Linked DNA regions of Lonchura striata. The protein of the gene in region 1 interacts with the protein of each later gene in a pairwise test. Links are inferred from orthologs where the notes say so. Each region holds a gene or a part of one and is shown on either strand. Other genes may lie near its edges.

Evidence for each region.
Region 2: the proteins of SGTA (region 1) and TFRC interact in binary tests that used the Homo sapiens proteins (3 or more experiments, as listed by UniProt). The two-hybrid records come from large-scale screens. The link is inferred for Lonchura striata from reciprocal best matches to the Homo sapiens genes SGTA and TFRC.

The regions. Positions count from the first base shown.
Region 1 is NC_134630.1:6,150,537-6,157,810, reverse strand, and holds the start of SGTA (small glutamine-rich tetratricopeptide repeat-containing protein alpha), read left to right. Parts: upstream 1-4,257; 5' UTR 4,258-4,323; intron 4,324-5,216; 5' UTR 5,217-5,308; coding exon 5,309-5,408; intron 5,409-6,262; coding exon 6,263-6,366; intron 6,367-6,529; coding exon 6,530-6,614; intron 6,615-7,101; coding exon 7,102-7,201; intron 7,202-7,274. Other genes in the region: THOP1 (thimet oligopeptidase), read right to left, coding at 277-425, 3,385-3,625. UniProt on the Homo sapiens protein: Co-chaperone that binds misfolded and hydrophobic patches-containing client proteins in the cytosol. Mediates their targeting to the endoplasmic reticulum but also regulates their sorting to the proteasome when targeting fails.
Region 2 is NC_134612.1:17,678,934-17,686,949, reverse strand, and holds the start of TFRC (transferrin receptor protein 1), read right to left. Parts: upstream 3,017-8,016; 5' UTR 2,816-3,016; intron 1,083-2,815; exon of another isoform or gene 978-1,082; intron 1-977. UniProt on the Homo sapiens protein: Cellular uptake of iron occurs via receptor-mediated endocytosis of ligand-occupied transferrin receptor into specialized endosomes. Endosomal acidification leads to iron release.

The DNA of each region.
Region 1 (7,274 bases):
CAGATTCCGACACCAGGCTGCTTTAAACACGTCACCTTTGTGCCCCATCAGCATTTTGGAGGGGGATCACCACTGAGATGGGTTGGATTTCCCAAAAGCCCCTCAGCAAAGAGGGGATCAAGGCTCTGAGTGGAGGCAGAGCCCTCAATCCCAAATTTCCCACCCCTCCCTCTGCCGTGCCCACACCCCACTCCTGCATCGTTCCCTTCTCAGCTCTGGGATGAGGCAGAAGGATCTGCTGGAATTCCAGGGGGTTGCAGGTGGCAGAGGACGTACCTGGAGCCACACAATCCTCTGGTACACGTCCTGCCTCATGCTCATCTCCACGTCGAACTCCGAGAGCTTCTTGTCGGCCTCGGTGCTGGCGGCGCGGGTGGCCTTGCAGGGGGACACGTGCTGGGGGAAATCCAGCATGTTCCTACGGACTGGCAGGAGAAAAGGGGACAGGGATGGTGGCTCCACGTCCCAGCACACGCCCGGAGCCAGGCTGGCAGCCCCAGAGCCTTTTCCACCACGCTGCAGGGGAGGGAGGTGGGATGTGGCTCCTGCTCCCTTTGGTGCCTTCCCTGCTGCCCAGCACATCCACCCTGCTGGATTCCCGCCACAATCCTCCCAAAATCCACGGGAATTCTGTGCCTGTGAGCCCCCAACAGCTCTGCCCCAGCTGTGGCAGCACGGGAGGTTTGGGGAGGCCTGTGCAGGGCCAGGAGTTGGACTCGATGCTCCTTTGCAGCTGGAGGAATTCCACGATTCCTGATGGCAGCAGCATTCCCTGCCTCCTTTAAAGCTCAAAGTGGGACAATCCCTTCCCGCAGACACTTCCCAAAAAAGCCACCATGCCCCAGGTGCGCCCTGTCCTGACGCAATTCCACGTGGGAAGGCAAGGAGAACATTCCCTGCTGTTATCCCTGCAAAAAGCTCCAAGAGCAGCACTCCAGGTGCTCTCCAGGCACCTGGATTCTGCCCCCAGCAGAAGCTGAACAGGCAGCTCAGGCAGGGAAGTGCTGACAGCCGTGCTGAGGTGCACATTCCTCCTGCTGAGCAAAAGGAATTATGCTTTTTCCCCAATTATTTTAGGGAAAAAAGAACTGGGAGAGGAGGAGGACGAGGCTGCTCCCGGCCCCAGACAGGTGGGGCAGCTCGAGCACAGGGAGCAGCCCAGGTGTCACGAGGAGGGGCCACAGAATTGTCACCCTGCTGCAAATAATCATCCAGAAAGCCACCAGAAGAGCACAGTTTTGGTGCCATCACGTCGTGGTACTCCCCACCCCTAAAAAAATGCCAGCGGGATTGATTCTCCCAAAAAAAATCACAGCAGGATTGAATCTCCCAAAAAATGCCAGCAGGATTATCCTCCCAAAAAAATGCCAGCAGGATTGATTTTCCAAAAAAAATCCCAGCAGGATTGATTCTCCCAAAAAAATCACAGCGGGATTGAATCTCCCAAAAAATCCTAGCAGGATTGATTTTCCCAAAAAGTCCCTGCAGGATTTATCCTCCCAAAAAATCCTAATGGGACTGATTCTCCCAAAATATCCCAGCAGGACTGAGTCTCCCAAAAAATCCCAGCAGGATTGACTCTCCCAAAAAATTCCAGCAGCAAACAAGGCACATGGAGAGACATTTGTCCACTGTCCCAGGGAAAATTGAGGAAGGAAGTGAGAGTTTTTGGGATCTTTTCTCTGCTCCCACTGGTGACACGGGAAAGCTGGGACAGCTTTGGGGACATGGCTGCTCCTGCTGGCCTTGGGTTAATTTGCTTTTCCAAATCTGCTCTTTGTGCTGGCTCCTGGTTGTGTAAACATTAACTGGGAATAAAACCAACATTCTGCTGGCAGCCACGGGGAGAGAAAAGCAGGTGACAGCACAGAGCTAAAAAAAAAAAATCCAAAAATCCTAATAATCGTAGAATGGGTTGGAAAGTCTCTCAAAGCTCAGCCCTGCTATGGGCAGGGACATCTCCCACTATCCCAAGCTGGCCTTGGACCTTCCCAGGGATGGGGCAGGCACAGCCGCTCTGGGCAAGCCGAGAACCTCCCGCCTTCCCGGGAAGAGGAAGGTGTATCCCACCTGTGCATCCCATCCTGTGCCAGCAGGAACAGCTCCTTCCAGCCCAATCCCACAGATCTCACCTTTGTACCCCACCCTCTTCCAGCAGGAACAGCTCCCCCAGCCCAATCCCACTAATCCCACAGATCCCACCTGTGCATCCCACCCTGTGCCAGCAGGAACAGCTCCCTCAACCCAATCCCACCAATCCCACAGATCCTACCTGTGCATCCCATCCTGTGCCAGCAGAAACAGCTCCTTCCAGCCCAATCCCACAGATCCCACCTTTGTACCCCACCCTCTTCCAGCAGGAACAGCTCCCTCAACCCAATCCCACCAATGCCACCTGTGTATCCCACCTTCTGCCAGCAGGAACAGCTATCCCAGCCCCAATCCCACCCTTTGCCAGCAGGAACAGCCCCCTCCAGTCTGATCCCACTGATCCCACCTGTGTATCCCACCCTCTTCCAGCAGGAACAGCTCCCTCCAGCCCAATCCCACTAATCCCACAGATCCTACCTGTGTATCCCACCCTTTGCCAGCAGGAACAGCCCCCTCCAGCCTAATCCCACTGATCCCACCTGTGTATTCCACCTTTGTATCCCACCCTCTTCCAGCAGGGACAGCTCCTTCCAGCCTGATCCCACTAATCCCACTGATCCCACCCTCTACTGGCAGAAACAGATCCCCCAGCCCAATCCTACCAATCCCACCCTGTGCCAGCAGGAACAGCCCCCTCCAGCCTAATCCCATTGATCCTACTGTGTATCCCACCCTCTTCCAGTAGGAACAACTTCCTCCAGCCCAATCCCAGCAATCCCATCCTGTGCCAGCAGGAACAGCTCCCTCCAGCCTGATTCCACAGATCCCACCTGTGCATCCCACCCTCTTCCAGCAGGAACAGCTCCCCCAGCCCGATCCCACTAATCCCACAGATCCTACCTGTGCATCCCATCCTGTGCCAGCAGGAACAGCTCCCCCAGCCCGATCCCACCAATGCCACCTGTGTATCCCACCCTTTGCCGGCAGGAACAGCTCCCCCAGCCCAATCCCACAGATCCCACCTGTGTATCCCACCCTTTGCCGGCAGGAACAGCTCCCCCAGCCCAATCCCACCCTCCTCCAGCAGGAACAGCCCCCTCCAGCCTGATCCCACAGATCCCACCTGTGCATCCCACCCTCTTCCAGCAGGAACAGCTCCCCCAGCCCAATCCCACCCTCTTCCAGCAGGAACAGCTCCCCCAGCCCAATCCCACCCTCCTCCAGCAGGAACAGCTCCCCCAGCCCAATCCCACCCTGTTCCAGCAGGAGCAGTCCCCTCCAGCCTGATCCCACCTGTGTACTCCACCTCCACGTCCGCCAGAGCCTTCAGCGTGTTCTCGTAGGAGACCTCCCCGCGCTCCTGGGCTCCCACGCGGTCGTACACCAGCTTGGTGCTCTCGGTCAGCTCGGCGGCCATGGCCTCGATCTGCTCGGCCGTCAGGTCCCAGCGCAGCTGGCTGGCCACGGGCCGCGGGGCCTGGCCGTCCACGACATTCCCTGCGGGACAGCGGCGGCGACAGCTCGGGGGGAGCATTCCGGGCAGAGCCCGGCCGCCGGGAATCGGCGGCGGGATCGCCGAGCGGGCGCTCCTCGCCCCTCCCGGTCCCGAAACCCGACTCCGTGCCCCGCCGGCTGCTCGGGGACGGGGCCACAGAGGTGACCCGCGGGGAGAGGAGACCCCGGCCGGCCCGGGGGACCGGCCCCGGCCCGGTGCTGCCGCCCCATCCCTCTCCCCTCACCGCTCTCCCCGGTGCCCCCATCCCGCCGGTACCTGTCGGCGGGGCCATGTCGGGGGTGCCGGGGGTACCGGGAGGCCCCGCGCTGCTGACGAGGCCGGGAGGAAACCGGGCCGGCCCCACGCACCGAGCATGTGCCCCGACCGGAGAGGCGGGCGGGAGAGCGGGGCATGCTGGGAGCCTGGAGGACCGGGCCGCTCCCGCCGCGCCCGCGCCGCACCGGGGCCGGGCGGCGGGGGCGGCTCATCCCCGCCGCGACCCTCCGGGCCGGCCGGGAGCGGGCGCGGGGCGGGCGCGGAGCATCCCCGGGTCCCGCCCGCCCGTTCCCATGGCAACGCCCCCGCGCGTTGCCGTGGCAACGCCGGCATCTCTATGGTCCCGCTGGGGGCGGGGCTTCCGCGCCAGGCCACGCCCATTCCGGTGCACCGGGGAGGGCGGGGCGGCGGGCGCGGCGCATGCGCAGTGCGGGAGCGCGCCCGGCCCAGGCGAGTGTCCGGTGAGCGCGGGGGAACCGGGACCGGCACCGGGACCGGGGCTGAGCTCCCGCCGGGACCCTCCGGTGCCGGGCCGTGCTGTGCTGCCCGCCGCAGCCGCCGTCCTGCTCCGCCTGCGGGCAGCGGCACCGGAGGGCACCGGGACTGGGATGGGGAACCGGGGCACCGGGGGCACCGGGGCTGGGCCCCCGCCGGGACCCTCCGGTGCTGGGCCGTGCTGTCGGGGAACGGGAGCTCCCGGGTCGGGGAACGGGATCCCAGCCGGGCCCGGGGCTGCTCCCGGGTCGGGGAACGGGAGATCCCGGGTCGGGGAACGGGAGATCCCGGGTCGGGGAACGGGATCCCAGCCGGGGAACGGGAGATCCCGGGTCGGGGAACGGGAACCCAACCGGGCCCGGGGCTGCTCCCGGGGCTTCTGGTTCCGCTCGGGTCCGTGGGACTCCGGTGAAACGGAGCTCGTTCCTCGCTTAAACGATCCTGGCTGTGCTACAAACCCACTTAAGGTCCGGGGCTCGCTTTCGCTGCCCCGGGATCACTGGAATTCCCAGCCTCGGGAATTTTTGGGCTCTCTGTGCTTTGGGATTTTGGGATTTCTTTCCCTTTTCCCCGCCAGGACAGCCCTGGCTACCAGGGGCTACCAAATCCCTCCCGCTCTTGGCTCTGCTTTCAGGAGCAAGAAAATTGGGAATTTTTCCTGGTGAGCTCCTCAGTGCTCCCAGGGTTTCAACCCTCTGGGTTGAATCCAGGCCAGGAGAATTCCTAAGGAATATCAGGAAAGTTCTGGAGTTCTTCCCTGACCGAGAGGACAGGGCAGCTCCCTCATCCCCCCAAATCCATCCTGGCCTCCTCCGAGGCACAGCAGCAGCAAACCCCTGTTTGCCTTTCCCCGCTCCAGCCCAGCCTTGGAGCCTCTGCAGGAATTTTTTGGGACACCAGGAGGAGGAGGAGGAGGAGGAGCCCGGCCCCTCGCAGCCCTTCTCTCCCAGCATGGCAGACCAGAAGCGTCTGGCCTTCTCCATCATCCAGTTCCTGCACACCCAGCTCCAGAACGGGAGCATGTCTCCAGACGCTCAGGAGAGTTTGGAAGGTGGGTGCATCTCCCAAAATTTGGGAGAATTTTCGCCGTTGTCTCCCTGTTTTCTACCCTTGGCTGGGCTGCTGCCGGTGCTGAACCTCGCTGGGATTTCGGAGTTGATTTTTCCTTTTTTGGGGATTTATCCAGGGGTGCTGGTGGTTCATGTGGCTTCTGATCTCTTCCAAGAGCAGCTTAGCTGGGGACAGAAGCCTCCCTGATCCCTGCTTGGAGACTCAGAGGGTTCATCCTAGATGCTGAGCATTCCGTGGGGTGGGAGGTGGGAATTCCCCAGCTCCAGGGAAGCTTTTTGTGCTCCTGGCCTTGTTTCTCCTCTTCTGCTCCCCAAAAATCCCTCAGGGTTTTTCCAGGCCCTTCCAAAGGACAGGGATCTTAAAAGGATCTCCCTAAGGAGCTTAAGGTTTAGTCCTTGGTTTGTGGGTTTGTCCTGGTGAAAGGAGCGTGGCTGTGGGGTGCTGGGAGCGGGATATTTTGGGATGTGGAATGTGGCAGGAGGCTCTCCTTTCCCTGGGAGCAGCTTCCCGAGCCTGAGGAGGGAGGAGGTGGCTCCCAGAGCCAGGGGAATGTCTGGGTCTCTCCCTGGAATTCTGGGCCATTCCCACATTCCCAGCAGTGGGAATGCTGCTGCAGCCCCAGCAGGAATCCCTCGGGATGGGAACTGGGGTTGGCTCCATCCAGGATATCCAGAGGGAAGCTTTGCCCAGCTCTGAGTTTTACCAAAATCTGAGGGTACAGCCCAAAAATCCCATCTGGCGTGGGGAAAGTGGTGGGGTTTTTCCTGGTTTTTTTGAGAGATGAGGGAGAGGGATGAATGTTTATTAATTAATGACCTGATTCTCCTTATCCAGTGGCCATCCAGTGCCTGGAAACAGCCTTTGGGGTCTCCATGGAAGACCAAAGCCTGGCTGTGTCCCAGACCCTCCCCGAAATATTTGAAGCTGTGGTAGGGAAGGTGAGTGAGTGCCCTGGAACGTTCCCTTTTCCTTAAGCTCTGCTGGATTTTCCTGGAGGCTGCTGCTCTCCTCAGGAGCTCCGTGTGGGAGGGGAACGTTTTGGGCTGGAAAAATGGGAATTGTGGGAATGCTCAGCTCAGCTTCTCCCTCTCTCCTTGGAAGGAGCCGGAACACTCCAGAACGAACTCGGAGCCCGTCACTCCCTCGGAAGATGATGTGGCTGAAGCTGAAAGACTCAAGACTGAAGGTACCAAGCCCTGGAGCTGCTGGATAACGAGGGTTTGGTGCTAATTGGGAGGGGATCTCAATTCCCTGGCACCTGAGGAATGCTTGGAATGGAGGGGAAAAACAAAATGTTTTCGATTTCTGCCTCTTGCTCCGTTTGGTTTGCAGAAGTGTGGGGAGATTTTGCTGCCAGGGATGTTGGAGCAGTGGGATTTTTATCCCAAAAACCCTGTGGGGTGTGGAGCAGAGCATCCATCCCTCCTGCTCTGTGCGTGGCTTTTTCCTGGGAAAAAGTGGGATGAGTGTGGATGCAGCACTTCCCCCCTGAGCCAGCAGCTGGGGTGATTTTTTTTGGGATGCAGCATCAGGAATGCTGGAATTTCCAGCACAGCCTCGCAGCTGGACCTGCCCCACGCTGACAAACCTCTCCCCTGTGCTATTTCCATGGATCCAGGCCTTTGCTTTGGTTTATCCCAGTTCTTTTCCATCCTTTCCCACCCTCCTTTCAGGAAACGACCAAATGAAGGCAGAAAACTTCGAGGCTGCCGTGTCTTTTTATGGAAAAGCCATCGAGTTAAACCCAGCCAACGCCGTTTATTTCTGCAACAGGTACTGAGCAGCTCCCCCAGCTGCTCCCTGCTGGGATCCCAGGCTCTGGAATGCCCCAAATTCCCATTTTTCT
Region 2 (8,016 bases), on another chromosome or scaffold:
TCCTACAGAGCTATGTTCTCTGCAACTTTGTGAAGGCAATATCTTGAAAAATCTCTGAAAATCACTAAAAGTATCTTTCCAAAATTATTTCAGCAACTTTTAAAAGTGTAAGTTCTCTGTAAGCAGCAAACATGTCTGAAAGGTATATTGAAACTGATTTGCTTCTCCATTTCTTCCTGAAAAAGATTTGCAATTCAGTGAGCGACCAATGATCACTCGCCACAGCACCAGGCAGGTGCTGAGGTTGGGAGCAAGCAACCTGAGTATGCCCTCAGGCACTGCTGCTAATAGATGGCTCTGGTCTTCAGGTGCACGTGGATTAGCTCTACACCGGGGAGCTCTGCGAGGTTTTATTTGGAGATCAAAGGTTAGCAGTGGCCATTGTTTATTTCACCTTTTATTCAGGGCAAGAACACATGGAGGTGAAACCACGACAGATTTGAGAAGCCTTTCCCGAGCTGAGAAGCCTTTCCTGAGGCCGCAGGCTCCCGCCAGGGCACGGGCGGACCGAGCATGTGGCGGCTGCTGCAAGGACACCCGGGAAACCGCGGGGAGGCACAAAGGGCCTGCGGGCATCGCACCTGGCAGGGATGCTGGCCGGCCGCGCCATGCCTCCCCGCGCCCCTCCCGCCAGGCCGCGATCTTTCAGAAAGAGAAGCAAAAGAGAGAGAAAAGCGAGCCCGCTTCAGCAGCCGCGCCGCGGGGCTGGGTGGCTCCGGTATCGCCAGCAGGGCCCGGCTGCGGACGCAGATAAGCGGTGGGCGATAGGCGGCGGGCCGCGGGCACGTCCGCCCGAGCCGCCCTGCCGAGCCCACCAAGGTCGCGGGCACCGCCGCATGCGGGCCAGGGCCCAGCGCCGCCAGGGCCCAGCGCCGCCGCTCCCGCTCCCCGCCCTCCGCCGCCTCCCTCCGCCCGCGCCCGCTGCTGCCCGCGCCTCCCTCCCGCTCCCCGGCCTGCGCGGCCCCGCGCCCGCTCACCAGCAGCAGCTCCACCGCCGCGCCGGGCTCCGCTGCGGCGCCCGTAGCGTTAGTGCCGCTCGGAGCCGCCCGGGCCCGCCCCGCCGCTCCGAGCGCCTATCGGCAGCGGGCGGAGCTCCGCCTCCTGCCCCTGCGGCCGCTCCCGCTGCGGTGCGTGTCCCGCACGGCCCGCCCAAAGCAGCGGGCGTGTGCCTGCTCCGTGCCCCACGCGGCCTCGCTGCGCACAGGGAATGCACGGGAGCACAGAATCCAAGATCATCCAATCCAACCATCAACCCAGCATCACCTCTGCAACCACTAAACCGCGTGACCCAGCACCTTTTGAGCACTCCAGGGGTCACGACTCCATCACCTCTCTAAAAACCTATTCCCAGTACCTGTAATTGTGAAAAACAATAAGCACTCACTCCAGGGGCCACAACTCCATCACCTCTCTAGAAACCTATTCCAGTGCCTGAAACAGTGAGAAACAATTTTGTAATTCCTAATCTGAATCTCTCAGCTAAAGGCCATTTCCTCTAATCCTCTCACTACAGGCATGGTAGAAGAGACTAGTCACCTCCCACTACAGGTCCCCTCCTCACTACGACCTACTTCTTTTATAAAGAATGAAGCTACTTGCTTAAATTGCCTTTAGGTGCCCTTGGTCTGGTGAAAGAGCCACTTCCAAGTGGCATGTATTTCACTGGCTGCATACCAAATCCCAGCTTCCCCACAGGGAGGGCTGGAAGTGGGGCAGGGAGATGAAGTTAACAAATCTTTGTGGGAAGGCATGCTTGTACCACAGCAGAAGAAAGAGCGGGTCACAGCTTCAGCATTCCCGTCCTCTCAGCATTTTGAGGGATGAGGACAGGAAAAATATTTTCCTTCCTGGGTGATGCAAACAAGACTCTGGCTTGGGAAGCTCTCAGCATCCTCAGGTCCCAGCAAGTCTCACATGCTCAGGGCTGCCTTTTTAGAGCTGAATGAGCAGAGACACGCGAGGTGCCTTTCCTTTGTGTTGGGCTGCACAGATTGTTATTTTATTTGTAGAACAGGAAGCGTGGCAGGTATTATGTCTTCCAGCCCCTAAACACAAGAAGTGTGGACAGCCCACATCAGGACACAGGCTCTCTGTGGCCCACTGTGAGAGAAAGTCACTGCTTCCAGCCTCATTCTTTAGCTCAGGGCATCCCTCAAAAACATATCACAGCTACAGAACGCTTCAAGGTTCGTGTGTGTGCATGTTCTGCACTACTGTGTTCATTTGTCCCTTGCTCATTAGAAAAAGAAATCAGTAGGCCGGGATTATTGCCTCAAATCCTCTCCCAGGAAAGAAGGATGGGAGCAGAAAGTGTAGTTTGGCAGAACACATGATTGCAAAGAGGATTACGTTTGGTAAAAAGCAATACATTCCTGCGCTGATAAAAGGGGGATTAAGTAGACCTGAAATTCGGCGCGGATGTCTGGAGACAAGTCTGTAAAGTGTCTCTCAGGCAAGACGTGCTGCCAGCTCTGTTTGCCAGAGGAGGTCTGAGCCAGGCTCTCTCTTCTCTAGATTCATCCCTCACCAGTTGTCGTGATGCCAGTCATGGGAGGGAAAACTATTGTTATTTGGCATGTGACTGACCCGTGGGACGTGGTGCTGGCCGGTGCCTTGGTGGAAGCCCAAGGTGTAAGAGGGTTCAGAAAGAGTTTAGCTCAGTCCTGCAGGCTGGACGCTCTGATCGTTTCTCACCACAACAGCCTGGACGCAGCCTGCTGCTCAGGAAAGTACAACCCGGGGAAAGCAGTCACAGCTCTGCCCTGTTTTTATGTTCCTCCTGGGCTCCCCCCACCAAGCCCTCAGCTTCCTTTACCTGTGCACAGCGTGCCAGGCGCGGCAGCGCTTCCACACCGAGGTGCCGCCAAAGGAGGGACACCTGCAGGAGAGCTCGGGCTCTGGACGTTCCCGGGAGCGATGTCGCAAGGCAAGGGAGGCGGCAATCGGATTTATCCCTCCCCGTGGCCTCGGCTGGCTGTGCCTCCCTTCCGGCTATGGCAGGGGAGGTGCCAGCCCCGGCCCGCCCTGGCAGGGACTCGCTGCAGGTGTTTTCCGCTCTCAATCGCTGCACGCCGTGCTCGGCACTCAGTTCCCGTTTCTACACGTGCCTGGAAAAAGAGAAGAAAGCTGATATTCTAGAAACTCAGAGGTTTTTGCACCTCAGCTGGTTTTGGCGGTAGAATACCTGAAAATGAGGGTTCTTCAAAGGCAGTGTTGTGTACCCGTGAGCAGTGGAGCACCCTTCACCTTGAAGTGACTGGGATTTGGCTGGCTCTGGTGCTTGGTGACCTGTCTCAGGGACAGCTGCAGTTCACACAGCGGTGCCTGTACTGCTGGCAGTGCCAAGCCCAGATGCTCAGGCTGCCCAGCACAACCAAAAATCTTTGCGAGGAACAGAGAGCAAAAACTGGGAAATAGATGAAGAGGAAAGAGGATGTAGGATTGGTTACTGCTGACTTTCTGATGTGTCTTCCCAGCATCAGGGTGTTCCTCATCATTGTGGTTTGGCAAGCCAAACTATTTGGCTATTTTCAGGAGGTGTCCGTGTGTCCTCTGACTTGACTCAAATGACTCCACATGCTTTTGTACAATATCTCATGATGTGCCAGTGTCCTTCCACTGGGATGCTGAGAACATGAGATCAAAACATGGTTTCACTTCAGTTTTGCAGCAGGATTTGGTGATCCTTGTTGGTCCCTTCCAATTCAGAATATTCTGTGAAAAGATGGTTTTCCAGCAACTTATCTTGTGAGGTGACTTGAACAGTTCTATGGCAAGAAATACTGCGAATAACATGGCTCTTCAGTCTGGAAAGGATGGAAAAGCTGAGAACCTAGTGCTGGAGTGTGGTGCTAGATTGGATCTGCTGTTGGGCTGAGGTCAAGGGTTGTGGGACATGCAGTGGTCTGTGGGGTGGCAGGTGGTTATAGGACTCCCATTGGCTTTGCACTCCATGGAACAGGGGTTATATGTCACTCCAGGCACCCCAGGGTGCAGGGCCAGAGAGGCAACAGGCATCTGGGGACAAAACAAAGATTTTGATCTTCCTGAATGGCAACTGCTTCCTCTAGATCCCAGCCATTTACAGTGGCAGTGCCAGCTCCAGCCTTCCTGGGTTTGAGGGATACGCTGTCTGTGCTCTCATGTCACCTCATGGGCTGCACCTCATGGGTGCAGTCAGCTATTATAGGTCCCAGGAAGCTGAGAAATCTAGTTTTTTTTCAATGTCAGAATCATACTGCGACCCCTCTAGTACCCTAACCTTCCAGGTCAGGTCTATCAGGCAGGGCTCCCAGGAGAGCCTGTCCTCTCTCCTCCTGTCCCACCAAGCCAAGAGTGCAATAGCCAAGAATTTCACAACACCATGAGTATTCCCATCCTCCAGAGTACCACGTGTTTTGGCTTTTGCTGCGGCATTTCTCAATTGCGCTGGCAAAAAGTGGGTTAAGTAGTTGGGTATGATCCTCTCAGGGAAAGCCATCATACTGCCTTGGAGAATGTAATTCCATCCTGCTCTCCCAGCAATTCAGGCACCCACAGCCATGCTTGGGAGCTGTTGTTCCTTGGCCACTACCCTGACATGTGCTGCCATGCAGGCTGAGGAGGGGGAGGGATTGTGACAGGCGTTGGCATCTTGGAGAGGAGCTGCTGCCTCTTCTTGTCCTGTAGCAAAGAGGCTGTGGAGGAGGTGAATGAAAACGTCGTGGATAGAGCTGACAACTGGCCACTGCATTGTTGTCCCTTCAAAAGAACACTTGTCTTTGCATCCTTTCTGGGGAAGCACCTGGAGCTGGTTTGGTGCTCCCACCAGCTAGCTGAGAGGAGACAAGAGCACCAAGCACCTGGAGGAGAGGTGTGGGGCTGAGGACACTGTGGGCTCTTGCTCCTATAAAGATGTGCTCTTCCGGTATCCCATGGAACATGCCCTCAAAATCCTCTGGGATTTTGTTTTTTTTTGCCTTCCTGCAATGTGGAGGCTCATCTCCCCATCTCTCCTATCACACAAGGAGGGATGTGGATGCAGTGACGCTCCTTACTGCTGCTCTTCTTGCCAGGGGCTGGCATGGAGGCCCAGCTGAGAGGCTCGTGCTTGGACACTGCCCCAGTGGGACTAAAACAGACTGGCTCTTTTAATTGGGCTTCCTTGCTTACAAAGATGGGTTTCACTGGGATTTTAACCACCAAGGCATGGGAAACCCTACCTTACTTATAGGAAGGAGGGTGGACTGTTCTCCAGCTCCGTGCCTGCCCAGAGGGCAGGAGGGCTGAGGCGATGATCCAAGAGCTTTAGCAGCTTGGGTGTTGCTTGCCGCCTGGCAGTTAGCTCTGTTGGCAAGCTGCTGGCCCTCCGCAGGGGCAGCAGAGCGGGAGGGCAGCGGTGCCAGGGCCCCCCTCGGCGTGCAGGGCGCTGATAGCGCCGCTGGCAGCAGCCCGGCCGCAGCCAGGCCCGGCGCAGCTCTGCGGGGCCGCCGCTGACCCGCAGCTCGTCCCTGCGGGCCCGGCCCAGCCCCGCTATCGCGGCGGCTGCAGCTCGGCCCGTGCCGCGTGTCCGTGCCCCGATAGCAGCCCTGCCCCGCTTTTATCTGGGTCAGGGCGGCTGGGCCGTGGCAGGGGGGCTGCGGGGATCGGGCCCTCCAGCAAGTGTACAAACAAGCTCAGGATGTGAACACAATAGCCAAGGACCGGCCTTTGAAAAGCAGGGGGACTCAGCGTGGCCGCCCTGGGGCGCATCAAAGGTCCGGGTCACTCTGCACTGCCGTGCCTTCGATGGCTACCCATGGACTGGCCCCGGCAGGGTTTGAGTGAGGGGAAGTGGAAAGGGAAAAGAAATCAGCAGGGAGAGAACACAGGAGCTGGGATTCACAGTCATGTGAATCTCTTCCTTGAAAACATGGGCCTGTCATGAGTTCCCTTGCTCTGCTTTGTTCTGGCTCTTGCTGATCTGTATCTGGAGCGTAGGGCACAGCTCCTCTTTCTGCTTTTTCAGTGCGCCTACAGGCAGGTCACTTTTGCAAAGTGCTTCATGTGCAATTTTGTAAGCACTTCTCTTAAATCAACATTTGTCACAGCTGAGGGCTGGCTGATGGAGGTTTTTTCCCTTCCAGACTTTGTGTTAGAATCCTAGAAAACCAGATGTACATCCACAATTTGGAGTTTTGCTCAAGAAGGCCAGCAGAAAATGTACTGTTACTTAACAGGCTTGGAAACAACTCTGTGCAATGCCTTGGACAGAGCTGTGAAAGGATGTGAAGATGTGGTTGGAGTGATCTGCTTGGTATAGTGGACTTGTGCCTGCCCAGCAGAGTCCTGCAGTACCTGCTGTACCTCTCTAGCAGGATCTGGTCCTGCAAGAGTCCCTGGCTGCTCACTCCTCTGCTCCCAAAAAGCCCAGGAAAGTTTTGCCTCTGATTTGCTCTGCAGTGTGTGCACACGTTGCTGCTTTTGGATAAAAGACAGCCTGAGCCTGCTGAGTGGGAACCACCCTCTGTGATAAGGGCACATGTTGACTTAGAGATTAGAACTGTCCACTGCTTTGTTTTTTTATAATGCGCATTTATTGGTGTAAGAGCTGTGCAAAGGACAAAGGGAAAGCACGGCATAAAAAAGCCAGTACCGTGTGCAGCATTGCAGGCTCTGAGGGAGAAAAGGTGTCCCTAAGAGGGCTGGATGATGGTTCTGCTCTTGGGGAGAGGCTGCAGCCTGCAGGTGCTGGCCCCAGGCATGTGGGAGCAGCAGGCAAAGTGATGCCTCCTCTGTGGATTTGTGATTGAAGGGGTCTCATGGCCCTTCTTCTCTTTATGCCATTGTCAGGGTAATTAAATGCTCCCAGGCAGGTGCCAGAGCCTTTTGCAAACTGAGAGTTGGCTTTGTCTTGTTGACCTGCTGGAAATACCTTGTTTTAGGGTGGATTAATCTTTCATAACAATATCTGAAAGTGAAAAGGGGGCTTTAATTGGGGTGGGATTAGCACAATGGGGCTGAACAGGGAGAGCAGGAGCTTTCTCACTACTTGCTAATTGCCTCCTCTCTGCACTGGTGGCAGCTGTGACACCTGCCCCTGCCTGCTGTGTGCAGCTCTGCGCCATGGGGACCCAGGGGATGCCATGTGCCTTGTAGGCTCATTTATGCAGCAGAGAATGAGATGTGGTGTTCAAACCACGGTACCTTAATTCATCTCTTGCAGACAGGGAGGGGATTCTTCCATCACTCAGGTGCTTGACATGACTCTGGGGTGCTCATGCCATTCTCTTGTGCTGTTGTGGGGTCCCAGGGGCTGAGCTGAAACCCATGGGCTGTAGTTTGCAGCCAGCCCCCACTGCCAGGCATGGGCAGGCAACAGACATGGTCTGTATAAAGTGATAAGAACCACTGACCTGGTTCTCCTGGGACAGGAGAACCAGGTCAGTGCCTCAAGGGCAAATCCCCCGGGCGGGTGTGTGCTTGGAGAAGGCCTGTGTTTCTCCAACTCTTGGAACAAGCAGCCTGTACCTCAGCCAAATTTCTGACCTTCCTATGCCTGCTGGTCTGCCCTGCAACAGCGTCCTGTCCCTGGCAGGCACTGTCCCCCCAGATCCCCTTCAAGGGCAAATGTCTGTGGTAGGCTATGAGGAAGAAAAACTTTGCCTGTCCCCCTCTGTCTTGGCAGGCATCCTTTGGGATGCACACATGGCAGCGCTGGGCTCTTGCTCGGTGGGGCTCAGGGCACCTTTCTTTGCTGTGCATGTCCTGGTGGCTTTCATGGCAGATGTAAATTTGAGGTTTTATTTATTATGCAAAAATGGCAAAGTGGCCCAGGGTGATGTGCACCTCTCCTAGTGCTGTTCCAGCCCTCCCTTCTCTTCCTCTCGTTGGAGACTGGGGCTGAAAGGCCTTGTCCCTGTGCTTTATCCCAAGCAGGGACTTGGGGAAGAAGTGACACCCAGGAGGGAGGCTTGTCCAGGGCTGAGTATTGCTTGGCTGCCAGCAAGAACTGGTGATGCTGGGCCCCCTCCACCCTCTGCCTCGTCTTCCTGCACC